Linked DNA regions of Arabidopsis thaliana. The protein of the gene in region 1 interacts with the protein of each later gene in a pairwise test. Each region holds a gene or a part of one and is shown on either strand. Other genes may lie near its edges. The genes, in order: ZML2 and bbx23.

What was found.
Region 2: the proteins of ZML2 (region 1) and bbx23 interact in binary tests that used the Arabidopsis thaliana proteins (3 or more experiments, as listed by UniProt).

Annotation. Positions count from the first base shown.
Region 1 is NC_003070.9:19,130,071-19,136,167, forward strand, and holds ZML2 (ZIM-LIKE 2), read left to right. Parts: upstream 1-2,150; 5' UTR 2,151-2,596; intron 2,597-3,084; 5' UTR 3,085-3,105; coding exon 3,106-3,411; intron 3,412-3,584; coding exon 3,585-3,677; intron 3,678-3,766; coding exon 3,767-3,900; intron 3,901-4,008; coding exon 4,009-4,140; intron 4,141-4,729; coding exon 4,730-4,835; intron 4,836-4,948; coding exon 4,949-5,017; intron 5,018-5,113; coding exon 5,114-5,182; 3' UTR 5,183-5,560; downstream 5,561-6,097. Other genes in the region: MNS1 (alpha-mannosidase 1), read right to left, coding at 407-581, 722-787, 908-1,020, 1,280-1,441, 1,522-1,569, 1,904-2,062. UniProt on the Arabidopsis thaliana protein: Transcriptional activator that specifically binds 5'-GATA-3' or 5'-GAT-3' motifs within gene promoters.
Region 2 is NC_003075.7:6,368,240-6,371,839, forward strand, and holds bbx23 (B-box zinc finger family protein), read right to left. Parts: upstream 1,712-3,600; 5' UTR 1,288-1,711; coding exon 1,087-1,287; intron 1,016-1,086; coding exon 728-1,015; 3' UTR 590-727; downstream 1-589. Other genes in the region: ATHSP22.0 (HSP20-like chaperones superfamily protein), read left to right, coding at 2,298-2,885; AT4G10260 (pfkB-like carbohydrate kinase family protein), read right to left, coding at 3,247-3,381, 3,466-3,582. UniProt on the Arabidopsis thaliana protein: Probable transcription factor that may be involved in seedling photomorphogenesis.

The DNA.
Region 1 (6,097 bases):
ATATAGTTAGTTAAGAAACTATAGCTACCATAAACTCTAAACGTAACACCTGTTTAAAAGTCTAGACCCCAAACAAGAATGTTAATTGTTGCATACAGAGAAACCATAACTTGGCTGTTTCTGCCGAGTCCAGATCTTAGTTTTTATACGGGGTTGAATCATCTAAGAAAGTGGTCAGAACTTGGATTTAAGCTATCAAATAGACTCTAAGGAGTCCTTTAGAAACATAATCAGGAACCTAAGTCAACTACAGAACAAGTGCACAGAGTTTCAGGAGCCATTTTTTCTAGAAACGAATAAAGATTTGTATCCAATCATTGGATTCCAAGGTTAGGCTTTAAAAAGATCTACATGACACAAGATGACACAATACAACATACACGGCACTCAGTAATCTAGGACTCACCCCTGCCGCCCATGAAGGATTGTGAGCATTTCCATTTCTCAAGTTGATAATATTGTAAGGTATACCCGTTGGAGTATTCCATGCAGGCAATAATCTGTCTGCAATATCCTTAGCCTTTTCAAGGAACATTTTGTCCCCAGAAAGATCATACGCACTAAGAAGTCCGCCTACAACTCTGAAGGCAGATAAAGAAAAAGAATATAAGCAGATGCAATATCCGTTCCCCATCTTATGTCACCAACTGATAATCGCAAATAAACTGACTCTTCCTACGATAATTACAGAAAACAACCACAGTAAACCTGTTAAAGCCACCTTATGGTTGTCTCAAACATACTGGCGTCATAATCCTTGTCGAAATCCAATGAGCTTGCAACCCACCTGCAAATAAAAGACAATAAGCAAATGAAGATTAGCAAAGATGAAGAAGTAAAAAGTTGGATTTGCAACTGGGACGAAAACAGTTACATATGAATAAATGAAGAGCCTGCAATTACTCACTCTCTGGCTTTTTGAAACTGCTCATCTAGACCCATTATATAGAGTGTATCTAAAGAATCTACCATAGTTGCTCCAAGGCCACCAAAGCTATCAGTGCCATCTTTTGTCCGAGGCTGACAATAAAAAAAGGAAAGAAACAAGAATAGCTTCAGACCAATATTTTTTTTGCAGAGTTCAGGAAGAAAATAATCTTAGTTCTTAACAAAATCTTTGTAGGCCTGGTAACTTCAGATAAGCTCATAATAAAAGGCTCAACAGGATACTGGAAGAGCAGGCACTAAACGTCAAAATAAAATTTGATTCATAGAGTCCGTCGTAAACTAGATTTCGTATTCACAAGGGTGAAATGTATTTTGGAAAATAATTGTATACCTGAAGCTCATCTTTCCCCCATGCATACTTTTCATAAGAGCTCCAAGCATGGATCATTGCCTCTTTTACTTTCTGCCTTCGCTGTTTATCAACTGGATCTTCTGGGGCATCCTTCAGAGTCTTCAAAGGCTTATTGCCAACACCACCATTAAGCTCTTCTAACTAGCGGAAAATATAGTTAGTTAGCTAAAACATTAGAAAGACTATCTGAGCCTAGAGTGAGGGGAAAATATTAATCTTACCATCTGCTCCAACCGTGAAACTTCTTCATTTAGCTTAAAAACTTCAACCTGCAAGACAAAAAAAAGCAGGACAAGTGAGAGAATGATCACAAGAGAAATTGTTCACTTCCTTGACATTTTTCTTATTTTGGTTACATAGCTTCTTATAAACGAATACATGAATTGAGTCCAGAAGATATTAATTACAGCTCTTTTCTAGTAAATAAAACACCAACTGTCTTACTTATAGACCTTGAGCTATGAAGGCAATCAAACCATTCCAGGCCTAAACCATATAACCTACTTCACCAAAATTCGAATTGGCCTACCAATAAGCTATGATACAAGAACTATCTCCTACTCCTAGGCAGAGTCTAACCAGATTTCATTAGACAAAACATACCTCATGTTCTCGGGCAAGATTAATACGATCCCAGACAAGCATAGAAACAGAGACGAAGACAATGAAAAGCAAAGCCAAACGTCTCGGTCTTCTAAGATAATACGCAGGATTCAAATATTTCCATATCCCATAACCACTAATCGATCTACTTCTCGCCATCTCTCTTCTCAACCCACTCAACAAAAACAGAGACCAATTGAGAAATCAGTGTCCATGAAACAGAGCAAGACAAAAGTTAAAAGCTTTTAAATTTCTGATCCGAAAAGAGTAAGAAACCGAGAGAGAAATAAGTCTCTCAAAGAACAAAAGTTATAGATCCGATTTTAGTAGTTAGAAGGAGGAAGACGAAGAAAGAATTAAAAAACGAAACTTTACCCAAAAACCAAAAGAAAAGTATTTATTTATATCTCCGGCACTTTTGCTTATTTATTCTTTTGATGATAAAATAATCAATCGAGTCTCTTTAGCCCCCACTGGTTCGTCTCTTTCTTCGATTTCTCTTTCTATCTGGTTTCCATTTTCGTCTCGTTGGTGTTCTGGTGGGTTTGGTTTGTCTCTGTTCTTCTATTTGTGGCGTTATCCATCGGTTCAATTGTCATCTTCATCGTTTCCGTCGTGTTATTTGGTGTTTCTCGTTTGGGTCTTTCGAACATCTTTCATTCTTCTCTTTTTGGTGTTGCTCCCCACGAACAGGTAACATCATCTTAACTCTTATATTGGTTTCGTGTGTCGTAATGAGGAACCTATATTTCAATGGTTTTGGATGTCGCTTTGTTTCAGGATTTGCTTTTGTTTCTTAGGGTTTATTTTGTTTGTTGAAATTATAAGTGAGTTTGTGGAATTGGTATAATATGGTTTATGTAAGGCTTAGAGCGTGGAAATATTGAAACTTTGGATTGAATCTGATTGATGCAAATATGTTAGAAGTCTGTGTTAATCTCTTGAAAACAAGCATTGATCCATAAGGTTTCCTGAATTTATGTATAGTGTTAGTTAGAACTTATATGTAAGTTGCTCCAATGACCGAGGAAGTAAGGTTATATAGTATGTGAATCATGTTTTGCTTAGAGCTGATTTGATTTGTCTGGTCATCCATGAATCGTGCTTATGAAGATTAGGTGTTTTTGTTTGAAGTTTCCAGTTTTAATGTTAATTTGTTTTACTTTCACTGTTATCATTAGGTAGATTGATGAAAAGCAACCATGGATGACCTACATGGAAGCAATGCTCGAATGCACATTAGAGAAGCTCAAGATCCAATGCATGTGCAATTTGAACATCATGCTTTGCATCACATCCACAATGGAAGCGGTATGGTTGATGACCAGGCTGATGATGGCAATGCTGGTGGGATGAGTGAGGGTGTGGAAACAGACATTCCTTCTCACCCTGGAAATGTAACTGACAATCGTGGTGAAGTGGTCGACCGTGGTAGTGAACAAGGAGATCAGTTAACATTGTCTTTTCAGGGCCAAGTCTACGTTTTTGACAGTGTCTTGCCTGAGAAGGTGAGTTAAGTTGTTACTGAGTTGGTTCGTTGATTGTCTCATTCCATTAGAATTTATATTCTTACTCCAAGCCACATTTTAGCAAGTGGTTGAAGGATCTAGTTAGCTTTGAGTTTTTTCCATCTATTGATTCTAATGTGTGAGTGCCTCTTGCTATTCGACGCCTGTTGCAGGTTCAAGCTGTGCTTCTATTATTGGGTGGTCGTGAATTACCTCAGGCAGCCCCTCCTGGCCTAGGATCACCTCATCAGAACAACAGAGTATCGGTAATAAAATATATGATGGCATTTATGGGACATAAGTTCCCTTCCTTGATACATTGCTTGACTGACTGACTGACTAATCAATGAAACAGAGTTTACCTGGTACTCCTCAAAGGTTTAGTATTCCGCAGCGATTAGCTTCTTTGGTCAGATTTCGAGAGAAACGGAAAGGAAGGAATTTTGATAAGAAGATTCGGTATACAGTCCGCAAGGAGGTAGCTTTGAGGTACATTGATGTCTAAATCAACAACTTGGTCTAGTTATACTTCTTTTATGGTTGCTCTCCCAAAATTAAGGTTCGCATCTTGATTACTTTTTGTTTTCTGGTATACAGGATGCAACGCAATAAAGGTCAGTTCACATCTGCCAAGTCAAACAATGATGAAGCTGCATCTGCTGGATCTAGCTGGGGGTCGAATCAAACCTGGGCCATAGAAAGTAGTGAGGCTCAGCATCAAGAGATCTCGTAAGTTTAGAAATGCTTTGAAAGTAAACTGCGAGTTCCTGACATACTTTTTAACTTGAACCAACTTAACGTAGTTATTATGGGTTTGCTAAGCAACTTTAGAAGTTGTTTTTGCTTCCAACCTAATGTAGCATCTGACTTAGTTATTAAACTGAACCATCCTAATGTAGAGATGATAGGTTTATTAAGCATCTTAGATGTTGTTTTTGGTTTCAGAAACGTTGTAGAGGTACTAGAACTCTGAAACCTATCAATGATTCAATATCAAGACATACACATTGCATATGTAATATTTAACATGAGCATGGACCTATACGAATTGGTAACATTGAAGGACCAATACAGACAAAATATTATATAAAAGCTCTTCCATGCCTGAAGCAAAATGACTTCTGTGATAGATGATTGGTTAAGACAGGTTGTGATGACTAATATTGTATCCTGGAACTGAGAATTTTTATAATAACTTTGGAATAGACAATTGTCGTTTAAGTCTTTGTAGATTTGAGTTTTTCTTCTTGATAGCCTTACTTTAGTTGGTAAGAACATATCTGATTTTACTTCCTCTGAATGGCTTGATACCTGTAAGATGTCGGCACTGTGGAATTGGCGAGAAGTCAACTCCAATGATGCGACGTGGACCTGCCGGGCCAAGAACACTTTGCAATGCATGTGGACTTATGTGGGCAAACAAGGCAAGACAATACTTGCTTCTTAATTTGATCAACTCTCTTTATCTTGCTCATTTTGTAGCACTAGTGATTCGATGATTAGTCTGTCTAAATGAGGACGACATTTATACTTTCAGGGTGCTTTTAGGGACTTATCCAAAGCCTCTCCTCAAACAGCCCAGAATCTTCCTTTAAATAAGAATGAAGTAAGCAACATCATGTTTTGACCAAACAATTTGTTGTACGAAAAGGAATCCATTCGTCTTTATCATAACTTGTGCATGTCTGATCTATCTTTGCAGGATGCAAATCTTGAGACTGATCATCAAATAATGATAACAGTGGCCAATGACATAAGCAACTCACAGTGAGGACATGTTGGCTCTTGCCATTACAAGCAAGAGAAAGATCCCAACAGAGTTTGAATCGCCTCAGGTTCTGTAGCTTTATCATTCCCTTTGAAAGAATCTGACTCGATTTAGGTTATCAGGATTTGATCTATGACAATGTAATCTGAGTGATAATGATCTGCAATGTTTTGCTTCTTCTTTTTTTATGATTCAAAAATGCTTTATAGACTGTTGTTGCATTGGTCCATACTCTGATGTAACGTCTAGTTGCAGTCTGTGTTTTACCCTATTTTAAAGACAAACTAACTTTATTTAAGAACTCACCAAAAGAGTAGTCTCCTTATGACCACAGGGTTGTTTTGGAGACTTAGTAGCCTCATGTAAAGTGAACCATGTTCAATGCCTCATGCTTCTCTAAGTCAAGAAACAAAAAGAGGCTTGTGAATTGTGATATTATTAGCCAAAGGAACTTGCCAAAGGAACTTGCCAAAACAAGGAGACAAACTAAAATGGTTCAGTGCGAATGTGACTGCTCCTTTGTTTTCAGTGGCAAAGATTTTTACACAGAATTTTGCCTAAAAGACTTTCAAATATCCCTTAGATCAAAAAAAAAAAAAAAAAAAAAAGAGACTTTAAAATATCCCAATTTGTGAGAGATATTTTAGATTCCATTTTTGTTTTTATTTTAGCTTAATAGACAAAATCTTATTTCTTGCATTTTCTCTTCTAGTGAATTGTCTCATCTTATCATGAAAATCTGAAAATCTTCTCATAGTTTCATTTTTTAATAATATTTATATTGACTTTTTAGCATACCAGTCATTACATTTCAATTTTTCTGATAAACTACATTACAATGTTATTAGTTAATTTATGAGAGCTAAGCTTTGGAAATAAATGGTATAAAAGAATATTCTTATAATCTTTGTGGACAAA
Region 2 (3,600 bases), on another chromosome or scaffold:
AAATGTTGTATGTTAGCTACTCGTGGCATGCGAGTAGGCGATATAGATGTATCATGTAGGGATTGCAACTAAGATTGACGGTACCGGAGCCGCGTCATGGAGAAAGTTTCTACAAGCCTTTTTGGTTTGCTAGTGGGATAAATTTTTGGTCGACCAGGAGAACAAAGTTTTGGTGTGTCGTGGTAAGCATGGGGTCTCCAACGTTTTTTTACACGTTGTGGGAGAAGATAAATGTATACAATTGGATCATGATGAGGAAGAATCTCAATGGTCACTTCTTAATCAGTTATGTTCCAACGTTGGTTCAAATCCAACAAGGTCTATAGTTCTTGTAGTGAGGCAAAAAGAAAGTACAAGAGCTAATAGTAGTAATCTATGACTGTCTCATTAAGTTATGCATTTTCTATCCAAGTCTTGATATTTGAGATAAATAATTATATTTAATCAATAATTATTTATTCATTTTTTAAATTTTGTTTATATATCTAAGATCGATTCAAATAGTATTCACATTTCTACAATTCTTGAAACTATTGGAACAACTTAGCTTTGGTTGTGTCGATGCCATGACCACTGACTTTAGTTGTTAAGTCATGGTTTTAATATTTGTTGTAACAAAAAGATTTGATTCCTCAACAAGTTTTTCTTCTGTGTAAGATAATATATTACAGAAACTTTTATTATTAAACATCAATGGCTCCGGAACCATGATGTTGTGTGTATATCTCTAAGGACTTAAGATTACAGAAGGATTCTTGTGTACTATCTCACCTGAGTTTCCAGCTTCAGTTTCCTCACTAGAGTACTGACTATTCAGAGACACTTTTGACTGAATCTGGTAAGTTTCAGAGCTAAAACTAGTGCTGCATTCGGAGTTTTCAGTCAAAGACTGATCAGAAACTTGTACTCCAGAAAGTAAGAATCTTTGGTGAGAATTGCAAGTGTGAATGGCTTCATCACAATCATTGCACAGCATTGCTCTATCCTCTAAGCAGAAGAAGTACCCTTTTCTCTCCTGCATATACATATATATGAGACATCGGTTAAAGAGCTCAGCGAGTGTTTAAAGAGAAAAGAGATTGGAACCTGGCAGATATCACATAGAGGAGCTCCAGAAGCTGTGGTGGCTGAGGCTGCATCTTTTTGTAAGGCGACTCGGTGATGTCTTTGGAAAAGTTTATTAGCTTCATGAACCTTAATGTCACATGGCTTGCATAGTACAGCTTCATCTGAACAACAAAGTACTTCTGCTTCAGCCTTTTCACACACTTCACATTGTATCTTCATCCTTCAACTTTATAATCCAAATCAATGTAAATTGCCAATACACAGACAGAACAAATGTTCTTTGACATTTATGAGAATTAGGACAAGGAGTGAATCTAAATATAGGAAACAAGAAAGAACAAGCTTAAATAAGTTCACATGTGTGGTGGGATCATAAGTTATATCAAAACCTGGCTCTGATACCAAGAGGAATTGATGATCTTTATTCATGAAAAGAGAGAACTATATATAGATATACAACGATATGTCGAAGACGAAATTTTTATCTCAATATGGGGTTATTAGACCAACTTTGGGTGGCATTTAAACCAATAAATGTTCTCCTACCAAAATCTCCATGACAAGATCTTTTTCAGAAGCTTGTATAGTTTTACTTTCTTTTGAAAACATAAATTGACAAACATAGCGACAAGCTTCTCTTAAGACACAAGCATGGCAAGCCAAAAGTAAAGGCAGGACCACAATATGCATAAAGACTGTGGAATTAAAAGTAACTAGCCATAGGGCAATAGAGGTCAAAAACTCTAAAATGTTGTCAGAAACTGAAATGGAGCATGGCATCATTCAAACTCTCTCCCATTCCTTTCCCATGCAGCAGCCAAAATTCTAAGACTCATCACAAACAGAATTGGTCCCAAATATCATAATGGGCCAATAAAAATAGGCCTGGATATAAATAACTATTAAGGCCCAATCCAATCCATAGTTTTTACATGAAGTCTCTGGAACATGAGAGAAGACCCTTAAAGGCACAACAAACTTATCCAACGTGTAGTAACATAATTAGTACAAGTCACAGCCAAAAAAGCTAGAACAATCTCAATATCTCTCTCTGCAAAACTCTACCAAAAGAAAGATATTTCAAGAAACTTCTTCATTCTTCATACAATGTGTATTATATATACACCAGAGAATTGAGACTAACCATCATAGAAAACAAAATAAGAAAGTGAAGTTAAAAGCCTAAAATTTTGGTTTCAACCTTCTACAATAAATCCAAATCACTAACCATGATGAAGCACTTGCTAAGCATCTTCTTCATAGGAGCTTTGTTGCTTGGAAACATCAAAACAAGTGAAGGGTCTTTGTCTTCTGCACTTGAAACTACTCCAGGCAGCTTGCTATCCGATCTCTGGCTAGACCGGTTCCCTGATCCATTCAAGATCTTGGAGAGAATCCCATTAGGACTCGAGAGGGACACAAGCGTGGCTCTGTCTCCAGCAAGAGTAGACTGGAAAGAAACAGCAGAAGGGCATGAGATAATGCTCGATATCCCCGGTTTGAAGAAGGATGAAGTAAAGATAGAAGTGGAGGAGAACGGAGTTTTACGAGTCAGTGGAGAGAGGAAAAGAGAAGAAGAGAAGAAAGGAGATCAATGGCATAGAGTGGAGAGATCATATGGAAAATTCTGGAGACAGTTCAAGCTACCTGATAATGTAGATATGGAATCAGTCAAGGCCAAGCTTGAGAATGGTGTGCTCACTATTAACCTCACGAAACTATCTCCTGAAAAAGTTAAGGGTCCAAGAGTTGTTAACATTGCAGCTGAAGAAGACCAAACTGCAAAAATCAGCTCTTCTGAATCCAAAGAACTCTGATATTGAAGAAACTATATATTACTTTCTGAGTCTGAAGAGAGTTATTATAAATCCAAGAGTTTTGAGTTTCATATTGTGTAAGCTAAATGGAGTGTCATGTTTTGTAACCTATCTACCAAAATCTCTGTAACCTTCTCTATATGCAATAAAATGTTCATTTCTTTATATTATAGAGCCTCTTGATTATTTGTTATAGAACATTAGTCATGTAATTAAAAATCAAGGTATATGAATTAGTTTGGAATCAATTTTGGCAGAAACTTGAAACTAGATTTATTCAGATAACAGAGAAAATACTCTGTGAAAACCAAGGAAATTGACAAGAGTGAAGAAACAGAAACAGAACAGAACAAGATTGAAACTATTTAGACTTAGATTTCATGAGCTTTTGAGCATCAGCTGGAGTGGGAAGTGCAGGAATAGCTCCTTTCTGAGTAGTACACACTGCTCCACATGCATTTGCAAAGGCAAGTGCTTCCTTCAGCTTCCCTTCATCCTGCAACATTCACATTACTCAATCACCAAAACTCAATTTCATATGCCTTATCTATGAACTGAAAACGTCTTTGGTTATACGTACATCGAGTATGGAGCCATCTTTTCCCAATGAGACAAGAAATGCACCAACAAATGAATCACCAGCTCCAGTTGTGTCAACTGCTTTCACAGCGTATCCAGGCACTCTCCCTTTGAATTTCTGCGCTTTTCGACAGTC